Linked DNA regions of Oryctolagus cuniculus. The protein of the gene in region 3 interacts with the protein of the main gene of each other region in a pairwise test. Links are inferred from orthologs where the notes say so. Each region holds a gene or a part of one and is shown on either strand. Other genes may lie near its edges. The genes, in order: POLE3, NFYB and DRAP1.

Region 1 (8,367 bases), about 210 Mb from region 3:
CAGGGAGTGAGTTACATGGATATGGTTAGTTGGTTAACATTCATCAAACTTTACACTTACTTGCCCCTTTTAGTATTAATATTATACCACAATAAAAAGTTAAGCCAGTTGTGAGTGCCTGCCAAGCAGGAGCATGGTATTAGACTAAATGCCATGGAGAAAAGAAAGGAGACCCAAAGCAGGTGGGTGGTTTGCAAGGTGCTGGGAAGATGAGGGCATGGGAATAACTACTTAATGTGTACAGAGGGATGGAGATATTTTGAAACTAGATAGAGGGTATGGTTGCACAACATTGTGAATGTATGAAATGCTACCCCATGTTTGCTTAAAAATGGTTAACTTGGGGCAGGTGTTGTGGTGCAGCAGGTTAAGCCCCAGCTTGGAATACTTGCATCACATACTGGAAGGCTTGGGATAGAATCCTGCCTTTGTTTCCAAGCCAACTTCCTGCTAATGAGCCTGGGGGTAGCAGATGATGGCTCAAGTACTTGATCCCTGCTACCCACATGAGAACCCAGATGGAGTTCTGTGTTCCTGGCTTCAGCTGACCCAGTCCTGGCTGTTGCAGACATTTGGGGAGTGAACCAGTGGATGTAACCTCTGTCTTTGTCATTCTGCCTTTGAAATAAAGAAACTTAAAAAAAAAAATGGTTTTTGTTCCATGAATTTCATCATAACTTTATTTTTTAAAAATATTTATTTCAAAAGGCAGAGTGACGCAGAGAAAGATCTTTCTGTCTGCTGGTTCACTCCCCATATGCCCCAAGCAGCTATATAACTTGTTGCTACATGTGCCTGTTCTTCATCTTAGGCTTAAAAAGTGAGCTCACTTCCAATTTTTGTTCGGACATTTTTATAGAAAGTTTGTTAGTAGTAAAACAGGTGCAAGGCCAGTGCTATAGTATAGATTAAGCCTCCGCCTGTGTTCTGGTATCCCATATGGGCACTGCTCAAGTCTAGCTCTCTGCTTGTGGCCTGGGAAAGATGGGAAGATGGCCCAAGTGTCTGAGCCCTGCAACCACATGGGAGACTCGGAAGAAGCTCCTGGCTTCAGACTGGCCCAGCTCCTGCCATTGTGGCCATTTGGGGAGTGAATCACAGGATGAAAGACACACCCCCAGCTCCCGCTTTCCGTCTATATTACACGTTTCTTAGTTTTGACAAAGGCACCATGGTTTATGCAGTACGTGAACACAGGGAAAGTTGAGTGAAGAGTATGAGATTCCTGCAATTCTGTGAAACTTTTCTGTAAGACTGTTCCAAAGTTTGTTTGTTAAAATAAAACAGAAGCACAGCTGAAGGCCACCGGGACCCCAACAGGATCCCCATTCTTGTACATTGGTGCGATCTTGGGCAGGTCCCCTCGCTCCAAAGAGCCTTTCACCCGTCAGTGAGAGGTCTGGGGAGTGAACCAGCAGATACAAGACCTGGCTCTCTGCAACTCTGCCTCTCACATAAATCAATCAATCTAAAAACAAAAAACCAAAAACCTGTAGTTTTAAGCCAAATATTTCTAAGGAAAAAAATTTTTTTTTTTGGTGTAAGATTGGTGAGGAGGGGCAGGATGGATGGAGTTATAATGCAGTTCTTTTGGGATTCACTCCTGACAGGTGCAGTCTTATGATGGAGTAGCAGAATAGATGGAACGAGCTGTCCTTACGCAGGGCTTGTGTAACTGGTTTGTTTGACAGGAAGCAGGGTTGGGGGGAGGACTGTAACGCAGCCATGTTCCAGAAGGTTCACTTGGCTAGTACAGAGGGGAAGCAGAGATGAGGCAGGAAACTCAGCTCAAAGGAAGCCACAGGAGTCCAGATGGGACTTGGCTTAGCCTACAGCGGTGCTCATGGGAATTATGAAAGGATGTTTCTGCTGTGGACAGGGAAAAACCCATTGGATCAACTGACCGTGAAAACCTGCATACAGTTCTTCAAAAAAATATTTATTTGAAAGAGTTAGGGACAGAGAGTGATCTTGCAACCTCTGGCTCACACCCTACATGGCTGCAACAGCCAGGGCTGGGCCAAGCCAAAGCCAGGAGCCAGGAGCTTCTTCCAGGCCTCCCACATTGGTGGCAGGGGCCCAAGCACCTGTGCCATCTACTGCTGCCTTCCTAGGCCATTAGCAGGGAGCTGGATCGGAAGTGGAGCAGCTGTGTCTCAAACCAGGGCCCACATGGGATGCTGGCAAGGCAGGTGGTGGCTCTACCCACGAAGCTACAATGCCAGCCCCGATATGCATGAACTTTTTATGATTTGAAAAGACTGCGTAGGTTAGAGTGCGGTTAGGAGCAGTGTGGTTAAAAGGTAATGAGGGTGACAGCAGGGCTGCTTCCCAGGGTCTAAGAGGTAGTTTTGGCAGGCATTCGGAACAGCGCCAGACGCAGTGGGAGCTCAGGAAGTGGCGTCGCTGGCTTTCTAAGGTGCCAGCCATGATCAGGCTCGCGCCAGCTGAGCAGCAGCACCCTTGCCTGTGAGCGAGCGGCATCTGCTGGCCGCCAGCGGTGATGCAGGCTCCCGTGTTTCCAAGATCTGGCCCGGGGATCACACCCCAGACACTGTATGGGGACTTGATCAGTGGCTCCTCTCCAAAAGCACACGGGGAACACGCAGGCGTCATCTCTTCTAACAAGAACGTTCTTTATTCGTACAAAGCATTACAATCTTCTCAACAGCCATCACTCATTGAACGCCTCCCTGTGTTCATTTAACAAGTTGACAGTGTCAGACTACACTTCCCTACCTGTCAAACCCAAGCGCTCAACCTGCAAACAGAACAGTGCTTGTAGCACTGACCCAAAAGAGAGAAAGGCTCAGAGAGGCCAACAGGGGTGCTTTAGAAGCAGCTCGGGGGCACGGCTGGTGGGCCAGCCATTACATTCCTGAGCGCCATCTGACTGCCCTAAAGGGTTTGTATGACATTCTTTTTAAAAGCCGAGAGATTAGAACTAAGAAAGCAGAAGGACTTGCACTTTGGAATACTAAGCAGACTGTCAAAGTTCCCAGACTGGCAGGACTGAGAGAGAAAGTGGAAATGAGAAGAGCCACAGGAGCGGAGGGAGAGCTGTGCCTAGAGGGGAGACGGTCTGGAACTCTCCGTGAACTGAAGGAGGACGCTCAGGCCCCAGCCCGGGAGGCGGGCTTGGCCTCCAGCAGGTTCTCAAGTGCACATGGCGAAGGCAGTGAGGCGCCTGCTCCGTAAGACCCCGGCGTCCCTGCCTGCCTGCCTGTGGTCTCCACTGTTCAATCCGGAGCGCGTGAGCTCAGAGCGCGGCGCCCGGCCCGGCCCGCCCCAGGCAGGCTGCCTAAGGCACACAGATGAGCTCCAGGGTGAGCGGGTCTAACAGAATCCACTCCCACGGATGTTCCTGCCAAGGGGAGAGACAACAGAACAGATTTCTTTAATCCTCCAGTTCTCTTAGCAGTGTCCTAAAGCCAACCGCCTGACCACTTCACGGGTTTCCACGGCCACATCGTGTGCAAGGAAGCCCAGCTTTCTGGAGCCTCATGGCCTCTGAGACTTGGAACACAGCAGGCAGCAGGGGAATTACGACTCTCTTCAGGGGTAGGAGGACTGGGGGTCAAAACCTACCCAGCCATACATGTAAGCCAACACGAGAGATCACACTGACTAACGGAGCGAGCTGTTCAGTGACGACCGCCCGCTCAAGGAAGCGGCACAGGGCTGTGCCAGGCGGCTGCGCGGCGTCGGGAGCGCCGGTTCGGCTGGCGGCCTGCATCTGCTCCAGCACTCCAGCCCGGGGCAAAGCAGCGCACAAACACGGAGCCCACGGCCACCGCCCGCCTGCCTCCCGCCGCCCACCTGCCTCCCGAGGTCCAGACTCCCGCAGCACTCAGTTGTCAATCTCCTCCTCTTCATTCTGCTCTTCTTCCTCCAGCCTCTCCTCATCTTCATCGTTGTCCTCGTCCCTGCTCTTGTCCGGCTCTTCCGAATCCGCCTTTTTGTCTTTGTCTTTCTTCTTCTGTTCCGAAGCTTCCTTCTTGCCCCTCTGCTCCCGCCTATAGGCTGCAGGAAGAGGGGCGGGGTTAGGAGACAGGGCTGGGGGAGACAAGCGGGGACCGCAGCCGGCAGCATCACTGGACAGCTGGAAAAACCAAGGGACACGAGCAGAAAAGGACCTGGCGAGCAGCACCGAGAGGTCTCGGGTGGTGCCACTGAACTACGTCCGGTCACATCCGGTACTGGCTTTCTGGGCCACTCTTTCACAGTCCCAGGGCCACATCAACAGGTCACCCGTCTTCCATGTGGTTTGGGAAACAGAAGGGTACGGGCAGGCACTGGGGGCAGGGATTAAGGCGCAGCTCGGAACGCACGCATCCCATACCTGTACGGGAGTGCCTGGTTTGAGTCCTGGCTCCGCCACTTTAGAGCCAGCCTCCTGCCGGAACACCTTGGATGGCGCAAATACTTGGGGCCCTGCTCCCCACGTGGAAGACCCAGAGGAAGGGCAGGGGTCCGGCCCGGCCCGGCCCGGCCATAGCTAACCTGGGCATTTGGGGAGTGAACCGGAGGGCGGAAGATCTCGCTGTGTTTAACGATCTCTCTCTCTCTGCCTTCCAAATAAAGTGAAGAAGAAGAGAAGCCACGCGGGGGTCGTTACCTTCCAGGGCCTCCTTCAGCGGGGCGACGAACCTCTGGAACTCCATCTCCTCCATGGCGGACAGCACGTCGCTGGCATTCAGGGTCTTGCGTTTCCCTTTCATCGCGAAGTTGTTGGCACTGAAACAAAGCAAAAAGGGCTCTAAACGGCTGCCCCCTTCCCTCTTTAGGACGCGAAAAGGGGCACCCAGGGGTGGGAAGGGAGAACCCAGGCACATCTTGGCCGTACAGATGTTTGCGTAACCTGCGTAAACCCTGCCCTTGCCCGTACCTAAGTCTGCTGTTCGAACAGACCCGGGAAGACCCGGGAGGGGGGTTTACATGGGTCCCAGACCACAACTGCCAGCAGCGGTTCCCGGTGCCTCCCCCCCACCCTCCAGGCCTTAGACCCAGCCGGACGCCGGCTCGCTCTGTCCTGCTCACCACGATGTGGCGTACAGCACGAAGACGCTGGCGGCGCGTGAGATGGCGCTCCGGGCCTCCTTGGAGATGTTGACACCTTCCGGGAGCTGTGATGACGGCGGGAGTGAGCAAAGCCGCCGGCCCAGGACCTGCTTCCCTTCTGCCCGCTCGTCCGCCCCCGGCCCATCGCCAGCCCGAGCTGCTCACCGCCTCCTTGATGATCCTGGTGATTACGGCGTTGGGCAGGTTTAAGTCCTCGGGCCTCTCTGCCATGGCCGCGGTCGAGGCCTGAGTCTGAGCCTAGGGCCTCCTCCCCAGGTACCTCCAGCGTCCGGACTTCCCGCGCCGCTGCTGTCTGACCCTCCGAGGCTTCCGTTCCGCCTCACGTAGGCCGCACCGTGTCCCACAGTGCCCCGCGCCCCCAGCCTTCCTCCTACGCCAGCCCCGCCTCTCCACCTCAAGACGCTTTGCACCCGAACTTTTTGCGCTCGTAGCGGTTTTGGCTCGCTGGATCTTTCGGTCAGCGCCCACCGTACGCCGCACGTTCTTCCTCAGAAGAGTGTCTCTGCTTCACGCTCCCGCTACGTCCAGAGCTTTCGCCTCGAACTAAGTATGGCCCACGGAGGCTTCCGTCCGAGCCCCATCGTGCTCTGCGCCGTTGCTTGGCGACGGAGCGGCCTCGCGCCTCGCGTGGGAGACGGAGGCGTGGAGCCGAGGCGGCTGGGTGGGGCCCCTCCGGACGAGAGGCGGGGCCTGGTGAGCCATTACCGCCGAGCTCCTCGCCGGGCGGGGCTGCGTTGGGCCCCTGGATTTCGGGAACCCTCGGGGTTTCATCTTTGCCGTGGTCCCGAGGAGCCGGGACCCTGCGAGGCGGAACCGCTCCCTCCCGACAGCCACAGTGTTTTTCCTGTTCCAGAACGCAGCGGGGAATCTTTCTTCAGCCCAGCGCTTGCCGATGTCCATCCATCTTTCCGCCCCTCACGGCGCTGTGCTAATCCTTACCAAGGATAGGTGTTAGCTAGGCTTTTTTGGGGAGTTACCTTTTTTTTCCCTTGAGCTCTTGTTCACAGCGGGATGCGCCTGACCAGACTTAGAGGTTCATTTCGGGCTGGGCAGGAAAGGGCGGGAGCAGCCGCTTTTAAAATACTGCATCGTCCCATTTAAAACAGCCTTGTTAAAATTGCGTTTAGTTTTAGTTCATTACATTGTGTGTCGTACACCTTTCCCAGGCAAAATCATACCCAAGGGTTTCTTCTTCTTCCTCTTCCTCTTCTGTAATTAACAAATCTTTTTTATTTGGGAAGAGAGAGAGGAATCTTACATCAGGTTCAGTCCCCAGATGCTGGCCAATGGGTGGTGAGCCAGGTGGAAGCCAGGAGCCTAGAACTCAATCCAGGTCTCCCACGTGGATGGCCAGGACCCAACTACTTAAGATTTAGATATTTGATATATATATATGTGCATATATATATATATATATAAAAGAGAAAGCGAAGGAGATCTCCCATCTGCTGATTCACTCCTCAAATGGCTGTGCCCAGCTGGGCCAGGATGAAGCCAGGAGCCCCTACGTGGGTGCAGGGGCCCGAGCATTTGAGCCATCCTCAGCTGCTGTCCCAGGTACATTAGCAGGGAGCGGGATCAGAAGTGGAGCAGCCGGCACTGGAACCGGTACCCATATGGGATGCTGGCACTGCAGGTGGCGGCTTTCCCCACGACACTGCGGCTCCTGCAGTGGCACTTCAAGTTGTATTCCTTTCACATTAGGTATGTGGAAATTCTTACTGCCACTGAGAACTAATCCAGTTGTTTTTTTCCCCTTGAAACATGCTGTCTCAAATTTTTCTTGCTTTTGATGGATACATGATTAGAGCGAGATACTTCCCTATTAGAAAAACAGCAGAGCACATGCCATGGTAAAAGGCAACCAAACTTGAGCTAGAGACCAGGACCTCGTGGGGGTCCTACTGTACTTGGCTAGGGCAGACTGGGCGTAGAGATGCCAGGAGCTGGAACGCTTCAGCCAATTGCTGTGTAGTTGGAATTGGGCCCAGTGTTGTCAGATGTTTTGATCTGTAAGAGGAGCCAGAAATCTGGATATTAGGGACTATTTCGATTTTTGGTAGGCTCAAAGTGCCTGCCAAACTAAGCAGGTCAGGTTGGGTACAATCCAAGGCCAATAGTTCGCTGTCTTTGATCTGACAAGGTGTTCAGAACATGGTTTGCTTATCAGTGTTCTCCGTGCCCCAAACGAGCCCTCTCATATCTTTGGTAGTCAATAAACATGTTGGATAAAAGAAAGAAGAAGTGGACACTGTCCTTAAAAAGCATTAGGGATGGAGTGGTAGTGATTGCCTGAAACGTCTGCAGAGGGAAGAAGATTCTGAGCACCCATAATACCAGCAATTCAAGTGTATTATCTTATTTAACGATTCCACAGTTCTGCTTAGGGGTTCACACGCACACACACACACACACACACACACAGCCAGCCGCCTGCCCCAACCACACACGTTACGTGAGGAAACAGGCTAAGATGAAGTCACTTGCCTAAGACCTTATGCTTACAGCCAGTAAATGAAAAAGTAATGACCTCCGAAGCAACTACAAGTCTACTGATTTGCTATTTGAGTGTTCAAACCCATGCATTGCTGGGATTTTGCCTGCATGGGAATCAGCATGGGGGTAAGTCTGCAGAAATGTGGAATTAAAAGATAGGTTTATTTTGGAGCAAAATATTTTCAAACCCATGTGTAGTTTTTTCATAGTTCTCATTTTTCATAAAAACTTTGAAGAATCTCTGCATGGATTTCAAAATGATTTTGCACTAAAGAACGTCTCTTTTAATGCCATTTTTCATGAACATTTTGAAGTACCCTCATACTGGAAAAGGAAGCCTGCCTTCCCAAGGTTTGAGTCATCTAAAGTGATTGTATGACTACATTGGTTTTAATTTAAGGCTTTTGGAGATAATGGCACCTTCTCCCTGATCATTGACTAAGGAGAACTGGAAATGATGCTAATGCTTATTTTAGCCTATATGTCAAGCCTTTAATATTTATTAACTAATTTGGTAATGTCTGTTTAATAGGCTTATCCCCATTTTACATACGAGGAAACTGAGGCTCAGATTAAAGTCCCAGACCACTCAGATATTAAATGAATGACCAATTAGGAGGAGACCTTCTGAACTCCGTCCCCAAACTCTTATGTCGCTCTGAGATGTTTTCATGCCTGTTTATTTCCCAACCTTTACTTATCCAATGACCATTTACCAATGAAAGTTCAGTAGAAATATTTTGTGCATTGAGTCCAAATACTGCATGGTTTATGTGTAATATTCCCTAA
Region 2 (4,270 bases), on a different chromosome or scaffold from region 3:
TGCCTGAAACATGCAGAATGTTGATTTCCTTTCTTGTGTATGAAGGCCACATAACTCAGCGTTGACATGACTGTACCTAAAGTTTGGAAGTTTGTTTTGGAATATACCAATTTTAAGCTGTGAAATTCCTTTCTTATCTTGATTCTTTACTCAAACTTATTCCAATCTTTAGAGTAATTTTAGAGAATGAATCTGATAACCAAAGACCAAGTGCTTTTATCAGTTATATAGTGATATACTGCCTGAATCAAATGGAAGACATTTTTAAAATACATCCATTTGTAAGTATCAAAAGCCTTAAAATTATGCATGTCTGGTAAGCCAACAATTCTGAGAATTCATTTTAAGAAAACAGTCATGGATATACACATGATTCAGTGAACTGCTGTTTATAACTGAAAAGATGTAAATAGTCAAAATGTCCAGTGGAGGAGTAAATAAATTATGATTCATTCATACAATAGAATAATAAACCAATAAAAATGATGCAGAAGACTGCATAACCTGGCAAAGACATTCACAATATATTGTTAAGTGAAAAAAGCAGGTTACAAAACAGTATGCACAATGAACCCATTTTTATAAAAATATACATATTTTGCAAAGTAAAAGGACAAATGATATTTATCAAAATATTAACATTGGTTATTTCAACATAGTAGGAGGCTAGTTGATTCTGCGTAACTACCATCCCTTTTTTTCCTATTTGAAGTTTCTATCATGAAGATTATTTTTAAACAAGGGGGTAGGAGGAAGGGAATTATTACCTAGAGTAGCCAAAATGTGCCCTTACAGGCTCCTGGCAGTCAGTGGGAGACTGCCTCTGCCTTATACATCTGAATGTCCTTCATCACAGACGGCATTCACTCAGACTGCCTTTTAGGCAAAATATACAACAGCAATTTGTGATATTAAAATAAAAAAAATCTACTTCAAGTTAATTATCACCAAAAAGAATAAATGAGAAAATACAAATCCTTACTTTAAAAAAGGAACAACTCAAGTACATACTACTAAATTATACAAAGTTACATTATCTAAGTTTAGTTTATTGCAAAGATCAAGACAGCACACTAGAAGTCATGGCTTCTATTTCACACTGCTCATAGCACTCACTCTGTTCTCATTCTCATTCACTCACCGTGCAAAAGGTCTGTACACATAATGACAGCCAATATTTCTTGGTTCCTATAGTGTAATAGGAAACTTGACATTTCAATAAAAAAAGGTAAGATGAGGACATTTACCATCAGACTATAAAATTCCCCTTCTGGAAGAGGACACTATAATACTTGAAGATATGCTTTGAAAAAAATCATATCAAATAAAAGGGGCACCATTTTAAGGGCTCTAGAACTATGTTAAACTTAAATGAATTCTAACACTCATAATAATGTAACTCAAAAATAAATCTAGTCTTAATGAAAGCTCTAATAAGTAAAACTACATTAACAGGCACAATGAACAGTGTAAACACTGTTAATGGGCACCAAGTTTAACAGGGCAGACAATAATTTCTTCTGCATTCACAATTACTCAGTTATATTTTTTAAAATGGTGCTGCTTTGAATGTTTTACCAAAAAAATCAATTTTAATAAAATATGGCAAATGTAAAAATCTAGCTAGGTTACCATGCAAGATAGTATATATAGCCAAGACAAACTCAAATTTATAATAAAGGCAACTTGCATTCAAATGAACTCTACCCTTATATTTTATTAAAAGGGCAAACATCATGAATTAACCCAGCTGCTTATTTGAATTACAAAAGTAACATGATTCAATATGAAAATAAGAAACTGTCTACAAATCTCTGACAGTAATAAATTGCAATATACAATGCATACAGGAGTCATACAGAGCAACAAACTCTCGTACAAAACAAAAATATTTTAATACCTTTAAAATCCAAATTTTTCTTTAAAATCATTCATGAAAAAGATTCTCAAGTCAGAATTAACACCTCAATTAGTCAAGCATCAGGAAGCTACATTACAGCTATTTAATGTACAAAGAGACATTTTTTCACCAGTCATTTTCTTCTGATGTCTCTGTTCCAGAATCACAGACTCTTGCTTCTCTACACTTCCATCCCATAATTTCTTCAGATCATGAAAACTGAATTTGTTGAACACCAGAAATCTAAGATTACAAAAATTTGAGTAGAATTAGGAAAAAAATAGTTTATAAGTAACATGCATATCATAAACAGTGACTAAAAACAACAGATAATGAAAAATCTGCTTCCTTCTATTTTAATCATTTCTGGTATTTTCCTACAAATTGTCTATGTAAATATAAACATGTCTATATGTATTTTTAACCAGTTATAGAATATTATAGCTAATTTTGTATACTTTGAGAAAACAAAATTTTTAGTAACTTTTATTTCATTACTAATATATTAAAATTACCTGTGTTAAAAATAAATATAATCAACTTTTAAAGTAACTTAAATACAAAGAAGGTACTGTACCTGTTGATATGATGTTGTATAAACCATAACATTTTGTTGTTGACCATCTGCAGTTATTAAGCCAGCTGGTAATTGGTTAGCTAAGACAAAAAAAAAAAGTTAGAGGAAAAAAAATCCCATCTACTTTCTCAGACTGAACCTTAAGGTTATGCCATTGATGTCTCCTTGCAATCTGGCCTCTTATTTAATGTGGGTAAAATCATAAACCTAACATTTTTCCATTCTAAAATGTTCCCTAATATGCTAAAGCACATTTTTTTCTATTGTATTTTTCAATTTTCTGAATCCTCGCCCATTGTACCAATCTCAGAAACATGGGAAGGAGTGTCTGATTCATGTGAGGCCTACACCACACAGTGAGGGTGAGCTGGGCGCTGACTTAAACACATACATACATATGTGACTTATGAGAAATATGTTTACCACATACCTTTCATTTCACCAATGACAATGATAGCCAATTTTTAAATAAGAGGCCTTAGCTCAAACTTATTTAAACCACAAGATTTTGTATAACAAACTATGATTCTCATTATTTCTATTTCACATGACTTTTAACCAAAAACTAGGAGCTATGGAAAATCAGTAAAAGATTATAATGTGTGTAGAATTAAAATTTTCTACACTTATTATCTACTGATTTCAAATACATGAGTATGAACTAATAAGTATTCAAAATAGTACAATGTCAAAATACTCAGTGCAGCTAGTCCAAAAATAACACCTCCAACATTTCGTATGAATCACTGCTGACAATCTGCAAGACTTGTATCATAACACTGCTTACTGAATGCCTCCTCTGTAAGCTCTTCACTTAGTCCATCTGTAGCTGTGACTGCTCCACCAATTCCTTTCTCTCCTTTCATAGCCTGGGGAAGGAAAATGAAAAACAAAAACAAAAATTTAAAAGGTAGTCACTGGTAGTCAAATCAAAGTTTCCAAAATGAGACTGCTTATTTACTGCCTAAAATTAGGAGCTTCTATTATTACAAACACTAAACAGTATTTATTACCACTTCCAGGTAATTACATGAGGAAGCCCTTAAAATACCTTTTATATTAGCAGTAATCATTATAACACAGTGTCAGTAATGACCTAGAAAACCTTAAGGATTTATGGATAAAAATAAATTATTCTAATTCCAAACCACATTAAAGGAATACAGAATAATATATTTTATTTATTTACTTATTTTTATTTAAAGATTTATTTATTTATTTGAAAAGCAGAGTTACAAGGGAGAGCTAGAGAGAGACGGTGATATTCCATCAACTGGTTCACTCCCCAAATAGCTGCAATGGATGGAGCTGAGCCAATCCGAGGCCAGAGGATTCCCCATGTGGGTACAGGGGCCCAAACACTTGGGCCATCCTCTGCTGCCCGCTGGGGCACACCAGCAGGGAGCTGGATCGGAAGTGGAACAGCCAGAGCTCAAACTGGTGTCCACATGGGTGGCTGGCATCACATGCCACAGTGCCAGGCCCAGAGTAATACATTTTAAAAGTTTAAATAAATAATGAATCTTGTATTGTTCAAAGCCAACAAAGGACATCTTACTTACCTCTCTGAATTTCTGAAGGTACAATTTCAGAGGTTCCACATAACTGTCAAAGCCCAAGGTGGACATGGCAAAGAGAATGTCTTCTCCATTGATTGTCTTCCGTTTTTCTTGATGGCACCTTTCACTTGCTTCAGATGTTATAAAGCTAATGAACTCACTCACACATTCTTGAACACATTCTTTGGCATCTTTTGCAATCTGAAGAGAAAAAAAAACATAAGAAAATCTGTA
Region 3 (7,971 bases):
GCGTGCCAAGTCGGGGCTACAGCAAGAGCCAAGGCACAGTGACAAAGTGACAAAGACCAGGATGCGCAGGAAAACCACAGGCAGCTTGTGATTCTGGAACAAGGGTGAGCGGCCAGCGGGCAGCGAGGCAGGCGGGGCAGGCGGGGGCCGGGCCCGAGCTGTCAGTAGTTTCATCCGTTCTCTGGACAGGTTTTGGAGAGGCTGCGCTGGCCCCGCACTCCACTAGGCTCTGGGGATGGGGCTGAGGCTGACACACAGCCCCTGGCCATGTGGCTTCGGGGCCAGCAGGGACTGGCCCTCACTCGAGCGGTTCCGAGGAGCCCAGTCCTGAGTGACACTGCCTGGCAGGTGTCCAAGCACAAGGCGCAGGGCTGCATGCCTGGGGCTGTGCCGAGTGCCAGCTGGCTTCAGTGCAGTGGGCGCAGGCACAAACGGGCGCCCAAGGGAGACTGGGGGCCTGCCACGGAGGGCCCAGGAGAGTGGGCTTTGTCCTGCAGGCTGCAGGGAGCCGTGGGGGCCGGTGGGAGACTGTTGTGGGGGTCTGGAGATGCAGAGGCGTGGGCTCAGGCAGGGGACAGCGTGTGACCGGCTCATCATGGAAGCAGTGCTTTGTGGGCTGGGATCGCAGTCCGGTCAAGTGCAAGGCCCCCACGGCCCGAGGGAGGCAGGACGTCAAGCTGGCTCTAGGGACTTCCCAAGATCGGGTTGAGGGGGACTTGGCCTGGGGACAGAGTGGGTAGGAAGCTGGGGAGGGGGCTGAGCCAGGATCGCATGACTCAGCCACTTCCATCCAGTCAGCCCAGTGGCATCTCCGCGCCTCTGCTCCAAATTCCAGCTTGCTGAGGCGGCGGGAGGCTGAGTCAGCTCTGGCACAGTGTCCCAAGGGGCTCCTGGCCCCCGCCGAGGCGGGGCTGCAGCGTGGAGAGTGCTCCCAGCTCGTCGCAGCTCAGCAGGCAGGGCTAGGCGGGCCACGGGAGCGGATGCACGGTGGCTGAGGGGCTCACCTCGTGGGGGCACTCAGCGGGGTCAGGGCCTCGCTCTCGCTCTGCCGGACACAAGTCCCAGCGCCGAAGAGGCGTTCCCCTCCTGGCTCAGCTCCCCTGACCACAAGAGAGTCCACATCTCCCCGCGAGGGGCCGGAATCGCTCTGCGGCGGCCCGGGCTCCCACATCGCTGGCTGCCCAGGTGCCCAGTGTAGGCGCTGGAACCCAGCCCACGCCCTGCTCCGGCCAGGACTGCCACCACCAGGTGCCACACACAACAGCAGCCGGGGCTGGGCGAGGCTGCTCAGACCTGCCGGAAGCACGGCGCGCTGGCTTACTGGAAGCCACCGAGGGACTGGTTCTGCGGTTCTGCTCCGCTGGGGCTCCCGGGGGAGCCAGGGCCCGGCACCAAGGCCTACCGCGTCAACGGGGTGCAGGAGGGGGCGGGCGGGAAGGCGGCCAGCTGGGTATGTGCGGGTGGGGGGTGTGTGTGTCCTGGCCCCGCCGCTCCCAGCAACCACAGCAGGTAACCACCCAGGTTTTGGAAAAACACTCAGGACACAGACCCAGGCTGGGTTTTATTGAGATGCCAGGAGCAGGCACGTGTCTGGTAGCTGGGAAGAGAGGGAGGTGGCAGAGGGGGCGGGCCGTGTCCGTGGTGCACATCCCCTCTCTGCCCGGGGATGTGGGCGCAAGGACCCTCCTGGCTAAATGGCACGCTCACGCCTGCGGGCCCTGGCCCCCGCACTAGAGGCTCCACGGGGCGGGACTGGAAGCACTGTGTTCCCCGTGAGAGGGGGGAAGGAGAGCTGGCGAGTGCAGGCGGAGGGGAGGTGCGGCGGGGCTCTCTTCTTGGGTGTCTGCACCCACCCCGTGGCCCTGGGCTGCAGGGCGGAGCTGCGAGGAAGAGGGAGGCCCAGGCCCGCCCCCTGGGGGCCGGCGGCAGCCAGGGCACAAGTCCAAGGGGACCGGAGATGCAGGCGGTTGTTGGGCGACCTTGTCCTCAGAGCTGGGGGCGTGGCTTTCTCGGGACAAGGAGGACGAGGCCGGGCCGCCCGGGCGGGGGAGGCCAGGGCGTGGTCACCCCGCTAGGTCAGCTCCACGTTGTTGGCGCGGTCCAGCACGCGGGAGCCGCGGGCCCCGCCCCCGAGCTGGAAGCGGCTCTCGTAGAGCGTGGGGCACAGGTGCCAGCGGTTGGCGCGGTAGATGCCCAGGTAGGTGTACACATCGGGCTTGTAGGTGAGCAGGCACTTGATGCCCGCCGCGCGGATGGCCGAATCCGCCTCCAGGACGCCCAAGCGGTCCGTGAAGTCGTCCGTGTAGACGCAGATCACCTGGCGCCCCCCCTCCTTGGCGCGCGGGCTCACCTTCGCCACCTGCAGCCGGCCCTCCACGACGGCCCGGGCGACGCCGGCCCAGGCGTGGTCCAGCTTGAAGCCAGGGCTCAGGTGCATCAGCCACTTCCCCGACAGCACGCGGTGGGCGATGGCGAGCTGGCGCAGGGTGCCCGGCGTGACAGGCCGGCCGCTGCTCTGCAGAGCCTCCCAGGCCGCCTGCAGCCCCTGCACGTCGCCGGAGTTGGGGGTGTAGCCCTGCCCGTACACGGCGATCCAGCCCACGGGCTCGGCGTTGGGCGACCCGGGGTCCCCGTAGCGGGTGACTTGCGACGGCGGGTACTTGGCCAGCCAGGCATCCAGCTCGGCCGCAGGCGCGGTGCGGGCATCGAACACCAGCCAGGGGTCCATGTCGGCGGCCATGGCCTCAGCAGCCAGGTGCTCCGCGGTGAAGCCGTCCTCCCGGCCGCCGGGAGAGTCCTCCTCCTCCAGCTCCTCACCTGGCTCCATCCTGCCGGGAGGGAACCCCGTCAGAGCAGCGCCGCGCTAAACCGTGTGGCCGGCCTCGGTTGCCTCGTCTCTACAATGGGACAGCTGCTGGCTCTGCTGGGACAATCAGATGCCCCAGGTGGAGAACGCCTACCTGAGCCTCGGTGCCGGGGGCGCTACTACTCCCCTTGGCGCTCCCGCAGCACACCGGTTGCAGGGCAAGGGGCAGGGCCCACGCAGGAACGCAGGTGCGGGAGCTCCGGCCTCAGCTACCCCCGGCCAGCGGGGCCGGGCGTGGAGGGAGAGGCAGGGAAGAGGAGGTTCACGCAGCCCCCGCGGCGGGCCCTGGAAGGCCGGGCCTCCCTGGGGGCGTTACCGGGCCCACTTCGAGGCGAGGACCTCGAGGCCCCCAGACGGCAGTGACCGGTCGGAGACGAACGGGGCAGTGCTAGGACTCGAACCCGGGCCTGTCCGGCCAGCCGGAGGGGCCGACGCGCCCACCGCCCGAGTCGGGGCTCTGCCCCGGGCCCGCCCCGCTCGCCGCCCCGCAGTCACCTCCGGCCTTCGCTGCGTTCCGCGCCGGCCCAGCTCCGGGTCCGGTTCCGCTCCTGCCGGGGCTCCGCGCCGCCGCCGCGCCCCGCCCCCGCCACGGCCGCCGCCGCCGCCATCTTAGCGCCCCGCCGTCTCAACAACAACTTTATAGACAAGCGCGGCCACAGGGGCGGGGCCGCCGCGCCGCATCCGCCGCGCTGCGGGGCGGGGCCGGCGCTGCGGGGGCGGGGCCGACCCCGGGGCGGGGCGGGCCTGCGGGGGCGGGGCTAACGTTCGCAGCTGGGGCCTTGGGGCGGGCGGGAGCGGCGGAGACGGGAGACGCCTGGGAGACGCCAGGGGGGCGGGCGCTTGGGCGCAGCGAGCGGCGTTGAGCGGGCGGCGCTAGGACCCTGCCGGGGAGCGGCGGCGCCAGGACCCGGGGGAACCGCGGCGGGCCGGCGGCGAGCAGGCCCGGGCGCCCGGAGGCTGCGGGCGGCGGCGCGGGGCCCGGCGCGGCGAGAGAGGCCCGGAGATGCCGAGCAAGAAGAAGAAGTACAACGCGCGGTTCCCGCCGGTGAGCACGTGGCGGGGCCCGGCGCGGCGGAGGCTCAGGGTCCGGGCCCCGCCGCGGGGGTGTGGGGGGCGGGCGCATCGCGGTGCTCGTGGTGGTGGTGGGGGCTTGGCGCCCCGCCCCCTTTCTCCCGGGACCCCCACCCGCCGCAGCGGGCGGAGGGGGTCCGAGCGCTGTCCGCCCCGCAGGCGCGCATCAAGAAGATCATGCAGACGGACGAGGAGATCGGGAAGGTGGCGGCGGCCGTGCCGGTCATCATCTGTATCCTTGGGGGCGCCGGGCGGGGGGCGTGTGCGGGCGGGGGGCGGCCGCCCGGCGCCCGCGTGCTCCTTGACGCCCCCCAGCCCGGGCGCTCGAGCTGTTCCTCGAGTCGCTGTTGAAGAAAGCGTGCCAGGTGACCCAGTCCCGCAACGCCAAGACCATGACCACGTCGCACCTGTGCGTGGCCCCGGCGCCGGGGGAGGGCGGCGGGCGGCTGCGGGGGGCGGCCCGGCCGCGGCGTCACCCCCGGTCCGCCGCCTCCCGCAGGAAGCAGTGCATCGAGCAGGAGCAACAGTTTGACTTCCTCAAGGACCTGGTGGCGTCGGTCCCCGACATGCAGGGCGACGGGGACGACAACCACATGGATGCGGACAAGGCGCCTCGCAGGTGCGGGCCGGGGCCGCGGGGGCGGGCGGCGGCGGGCGGCGGCGGGCGGCGGCGGGGGACCTCTGGGCACACGGACCGTGCCTCCCCCAAGGGGCCGGAAGCCGGGCAGCGGCGGCCGCAAGAACGGAGGCGTGGGGAGCAAAGGCAAAGACAAGAAGCTGTCGGGCACAGACTCGGAGCAGGAGGTGAGCGCGGGCCCCGGCCTCTGCCCTGCCCTGGTCCCGTCCTTCCCCGCGGCCACTCCCGGGCCTCAGCTCCCCAGTGACTGCGGCCACTCCCGGGTCTCAGCTCCCCAGTGACCCGGGTCTCAGCTCCCCAGTGACCACGGCCATTCCCGGGTCTCAGCTCCCCAGTGACCGCGGCCACTCCGGGTCTCAGCTCCCCAGTGACCCGGGTCTCAGCTCCCCAGTGACCACGGCCATTCCCGGGTCTCAGCTCCCCAGTGACCACGGCCATTCCCGGGTCTCAGCTCCCCAGTGACCCGCGGCCACTCCCGGGGTCACAGCTCCCCAGTGACCCATGGCCCGTCCATGCCTTTGCTGGTCACCCCCTAACCCCCGCAGGATGAATCTGAGGACACAGATACTGACGGGGAAGAGGAGACCCCGCTGCCCCCTCCCCAGGCCAGCCACCCCCCTGCCCACTTCCAGAGGTAAGCAGCCCGGGGCACCGGAGGAGGCGCGCGGGTCCCCTGGGCTGGCTGTGGCGAATGTGGGGGGTGGGAGCACAGTGACCGTGGGCTTCAAGGCCAGGGACCCCAAGCTGACCAGGGGTGGTGGGCGGAGCCTGGGCAGCTCTGGGCCCGCCCCTTTCCCTGGGGCTTGGCCGCCATTGGTGCAGGGGGTGGTGGGCAGGGGCCTGAGCCGGGCTTGTCTACCCCGCTTCCTCCCGCAGCCCCCCAGCTCCCTTCACGCCCTTCGCCTCGGCTCTGCGCTTGCCGGCTGTGCCCGCAGTGCCCCCTGGCCCCTCGGCGCCTGGCGCGGAAGATGAAGAGGACTACGACTCCTAGCGCCCTCTGCCCCAGGCCGGCCTCCCCTTTTACTTGGTTTTAGTTGCTTTGGGGGGAGGGACAAGGTGGAGCTGTTCTTAAATTTATTAAAAAAAAAAATAACAAAAGGACTGTCTGTGTCGGTGGCAGCCTCTGTCTGGGGCTCGTGGCTGTCTGCCCGCCCGCCCCCACCTCTCTTCCCCTGGGCTGTGGCGGGGGCAGCAGCGGGCCAGGCAGTGAGTGGCAGAGGTCCAGTCTGGGGAGCTGGAGGGAGGCCGCCCGGCGAGGTCTGGGGCCTCTCGTGCTGTGTGGCCCTGGGCGTGCTTCTGCCCTCTCTGGGCTGCCGTGTAGGACCCAGCACAAGGGAGGGGAGGTGTGCGAGGCGGTGGAGGGCCTGGAAGGCAGCTCCTGGGTGGGACGGTGACGTCCTCTGTCCGTCCACGGGTATGTCTGAGCAGGCAGGGAGCTGTGGTGCCCACAGGGCCGGCGTGGAGGCTGTGGGGAGTGGCAGGTAGGAGTGGCTCGCCCAGGCCTCCTGGAGCATTTTTGTCCTAAAAGGCTGGAGCCGCCAGGCTGTGGGTCCGTCTGGTCTGGACAGGATCACCGCCTTCCAGGGAGGCGTTTGGAGCCTGGGGAGAACGATGGCGGCTTGACCGCGGGAGGGGCTGTGTTCAGGACACCCCCCGTCCCTTCGCAGTGGCTCTGCTGCCGCCAGCGGCCTCGCCCTGCTCGATGGGCTGTGGGGGTGCGGAGGGCGGGTGTGTGAGTCCGGGGCAGGTGACCGAAGGAGACAGAGCGGCCAGGCCAGGCCAGGCCACCCGGTTGTGCCGGGAAGGAGAGGCCAGCTGTCAGATGCTTGGACGCCAACAAGGAGGTGGTGGCTGGGAGCAGAGGTGCTCCGTGCTCCAGGCCTGGGCTCGTGGACGGGGCAGGCGGAAGCTCCCAGGTGAACAGAAGCAGCACGGGTGTTTGTTTTTAAAGACTTGTTTGTTTGAAAGGCAGAGTTACAGAGAGGGAAAGACAGAGAAGGGTCTGCCATCTGCTGGTTCACTCCCGAATAGCCCAGGACTGGGCCAGGCTGCAGCAGGAGCCAGGAGCTCCACCTGGACCAAGCGCCCGGGCCATCCTCCATTGCTTTCCCAGGTGCGTTAGCGGGGAGCTGGATCAGAAGTGGAGCGGCCGGGGCAGGAGCTACAGCTGGTGTTACAGGGGCAGCCTAACCCCCTGCGCCACGGCGCTGGCCTGCAGGGTTTTGTTTTTTAAGACAACAGAAATGCAGGCTTCTAGAGAGAGAGAGAGGGCCGGAGGGAGTGGAGTGGGTCATGAGGAAGGAGAGACAGGGAGTGGCTTCCGTAGGAGGCGGAGGTGATGAGTTATCTGGGGTGACGCTGAGGGCCGGGGGAGCAGATGGTCTAAGGCAGCGGGAGGGTGGACGGTGAGCGGTGGAGCGGCCGGCGGTGGCACTTGCTGGTGTCCCTGTGTCCTTCCCAGGCGCCCTCTTGCCTCCTCCCCCAGCCTGCAGCGTGTACAGCTGCCCCCACTCCAGGTCCTCAGCCTGGCCAATCATAGCATCCCTGCCGCGGGGATCTTGCCTGGGGGGCCTTGGGCGGGGCCCTCGGGGAAGGGTGGTGGTTGTTTTTTTTGTTTAAGGATTATTTGGTTCACTCCCCAGATGGCCACAGTGGCTGGGGGTGGGCCAGGAACTCCATCCGGGTTCTCCATGTGAATCCAGGGGCCCAAGCCCTTGAGCCACCCTCTGCTGCTTTCCCAGGCGTGTTAACAGGGACTTGGAGCGTTCTGATGGGGCGCACCCATGTCACAGGTGGCGGCTTAACCCACTGTGCCACACCGGCCCCTGGGGAAGGGTTTTGACAAGACCCCTGGCAAGGATGAGTGGCGGCCAGTCCGGCACAACATGGGCCAGAAGCTGCTGGAAGCCGCCCACCGGCCCAAGGGGGCGATCCTACCTGCAGACGAAGCCAGCTCAGGGCGCAGAGACGAGGCATTAGTACCTGCATCCAGTGTGGGCCGTGCGCGCACCCTGGGCTTCTTAGCCCCCTGAGCCGTTGGGTGTCTGTCGCTCTTAAGGGAAAGAGGCCCCGTGAACCCCAGGACCCCCCCCCCCCAGCCCTGGGAGCAGAGTTCTTTAGCACCAGGGGGTGGAGGGGTCCTTGTGTCTCCAGGGAGGAAATCTTGCCTAGTGTGCATGAGGTCAGGGTTGGGAGAGGAGACCCCGGGCGGGGAGGGGGCCTGTTGCTGGGCCGCGCAGTGGGGACTTGCACCAGGCGGGTCTCAGGTGGTGGGGGAAGGCCAGGGGCTGGCATCAGGCAAAGGCCCAGGGAGAAGAAACAGTGGCTGCGGGGAGCAGCTGGCCTTAGACAGAGTGTGTCAGACTGGAACGGCTAGAACTAGGCCCTGGGTTCAAAT

What was found.
Region 1: the proteins of DRAP1 (region 3) and POLE3 interact in binary tests that used the Homo sapiens proteins (3 or more experiments, as listed by UniProt). The two-hybrid records come from large-scale screens. The link is inferred for Oryctolagus cuniculus from reciprocal best matches to the Homo sapiens genes DRAP1 and POLE3.
Region 2: the proteins of DRAP1 (region 3) and NFYB interact in binary tests that used the Homo sapiens proteins (3 or more experiments, as listed by UniProt). The two-hybrid records come from large-scale screens. The link is inferred for Oryctolagus cuniculus from reciprocal best matches to the Homo sapiens genes DRAP1 and NFYB.

The regions. Positions count from the first base shown.
Region 1 is NC_091432.1:216,996,006-217,004,372, forward strand, and holds POLE3 (DNA polymerase epsilon subunit 3), read right to left. Parts: upstream 5,368-8,367; 5' UTR 5,293-5,367; coding exon 5,227-5,292; intron 5,127-5,226; coding exon 5,041-5,126; intron 4,738-5,040; coding exon 4,619-4,737; intron 4,024-4,618; coding exon 3,851-4,023; 3' UTR 3,820-3,850; exon of another isoform or gene 3,365-3,819; 3' UTR 2,616-3,364; downstream 1-2,615. Other genes in the region: C1H9orf43 (uncharacterized protein C9orf43 homolog), read left to right, coding at 6,704-6,786. UniProt on the Homo sapiens protein: Accessory component of the DNA polymerase epsilon complex. Participates in DNA repair and in chromosomal DNA replication.
Region 2 is NC_091442.1:106,943,878-106,948,147, forward strand, and holds the end of NFYB (nuclear transcription factor Y subunit beta), read right to left. Parts: intron 4,238-4,270; coding exon 4,040-4,237; intron 3,347-4,039; coding exon 3,265-3,346; intron 2,558-3,264; coding exon 2,478-2,557; intron 2,144-2,477; coding exon 2,111-2,143; 3' UTR 501-2,110; downstream 1-500. UniProt on the Homo sapiens protein: Component of the sequence-specific heterotrimeric transcription factor (NF-Y) which specifically recognizes a 5'-CCAAT-3' box motif found in the promoters of its target genes.
Region 3 is NC_091432.1:5,853,056-5,861,026, reverse strand, and holds DRAP1 (dr1-associated corepressor), read left to right. Parts: upstream 1-3,656; 5' UTR 3,657-3,869; coding exon 3,870-3,911; intron 3,912-4,096; coding exon 4,097-4,169; intron 4,170-4,252; coding exon 4,253-4,346; intron 4,347-4,436; coding exon 4,437-4,556; intron 4,557-4,647; coding exon 4,648-4,741; intron 4,742-5,119; coding exon 5,120-5,208; intron 5,209-5,450; coding exon 5,451-5,565; 3' UTR 5,566-5,675; downstream 5,676-7,971. Other genes in the region: C1H11orf68 (UPF0696 protein C11orf68 homolog), read right to left, coding at 2,072-2,828, 3,362-3,474. UniProt on the Homo sapiens protein: The association of the DR1/DRAP1 heterodimer with TBP results in a functional repression of both activated and basal transcription of class II genes.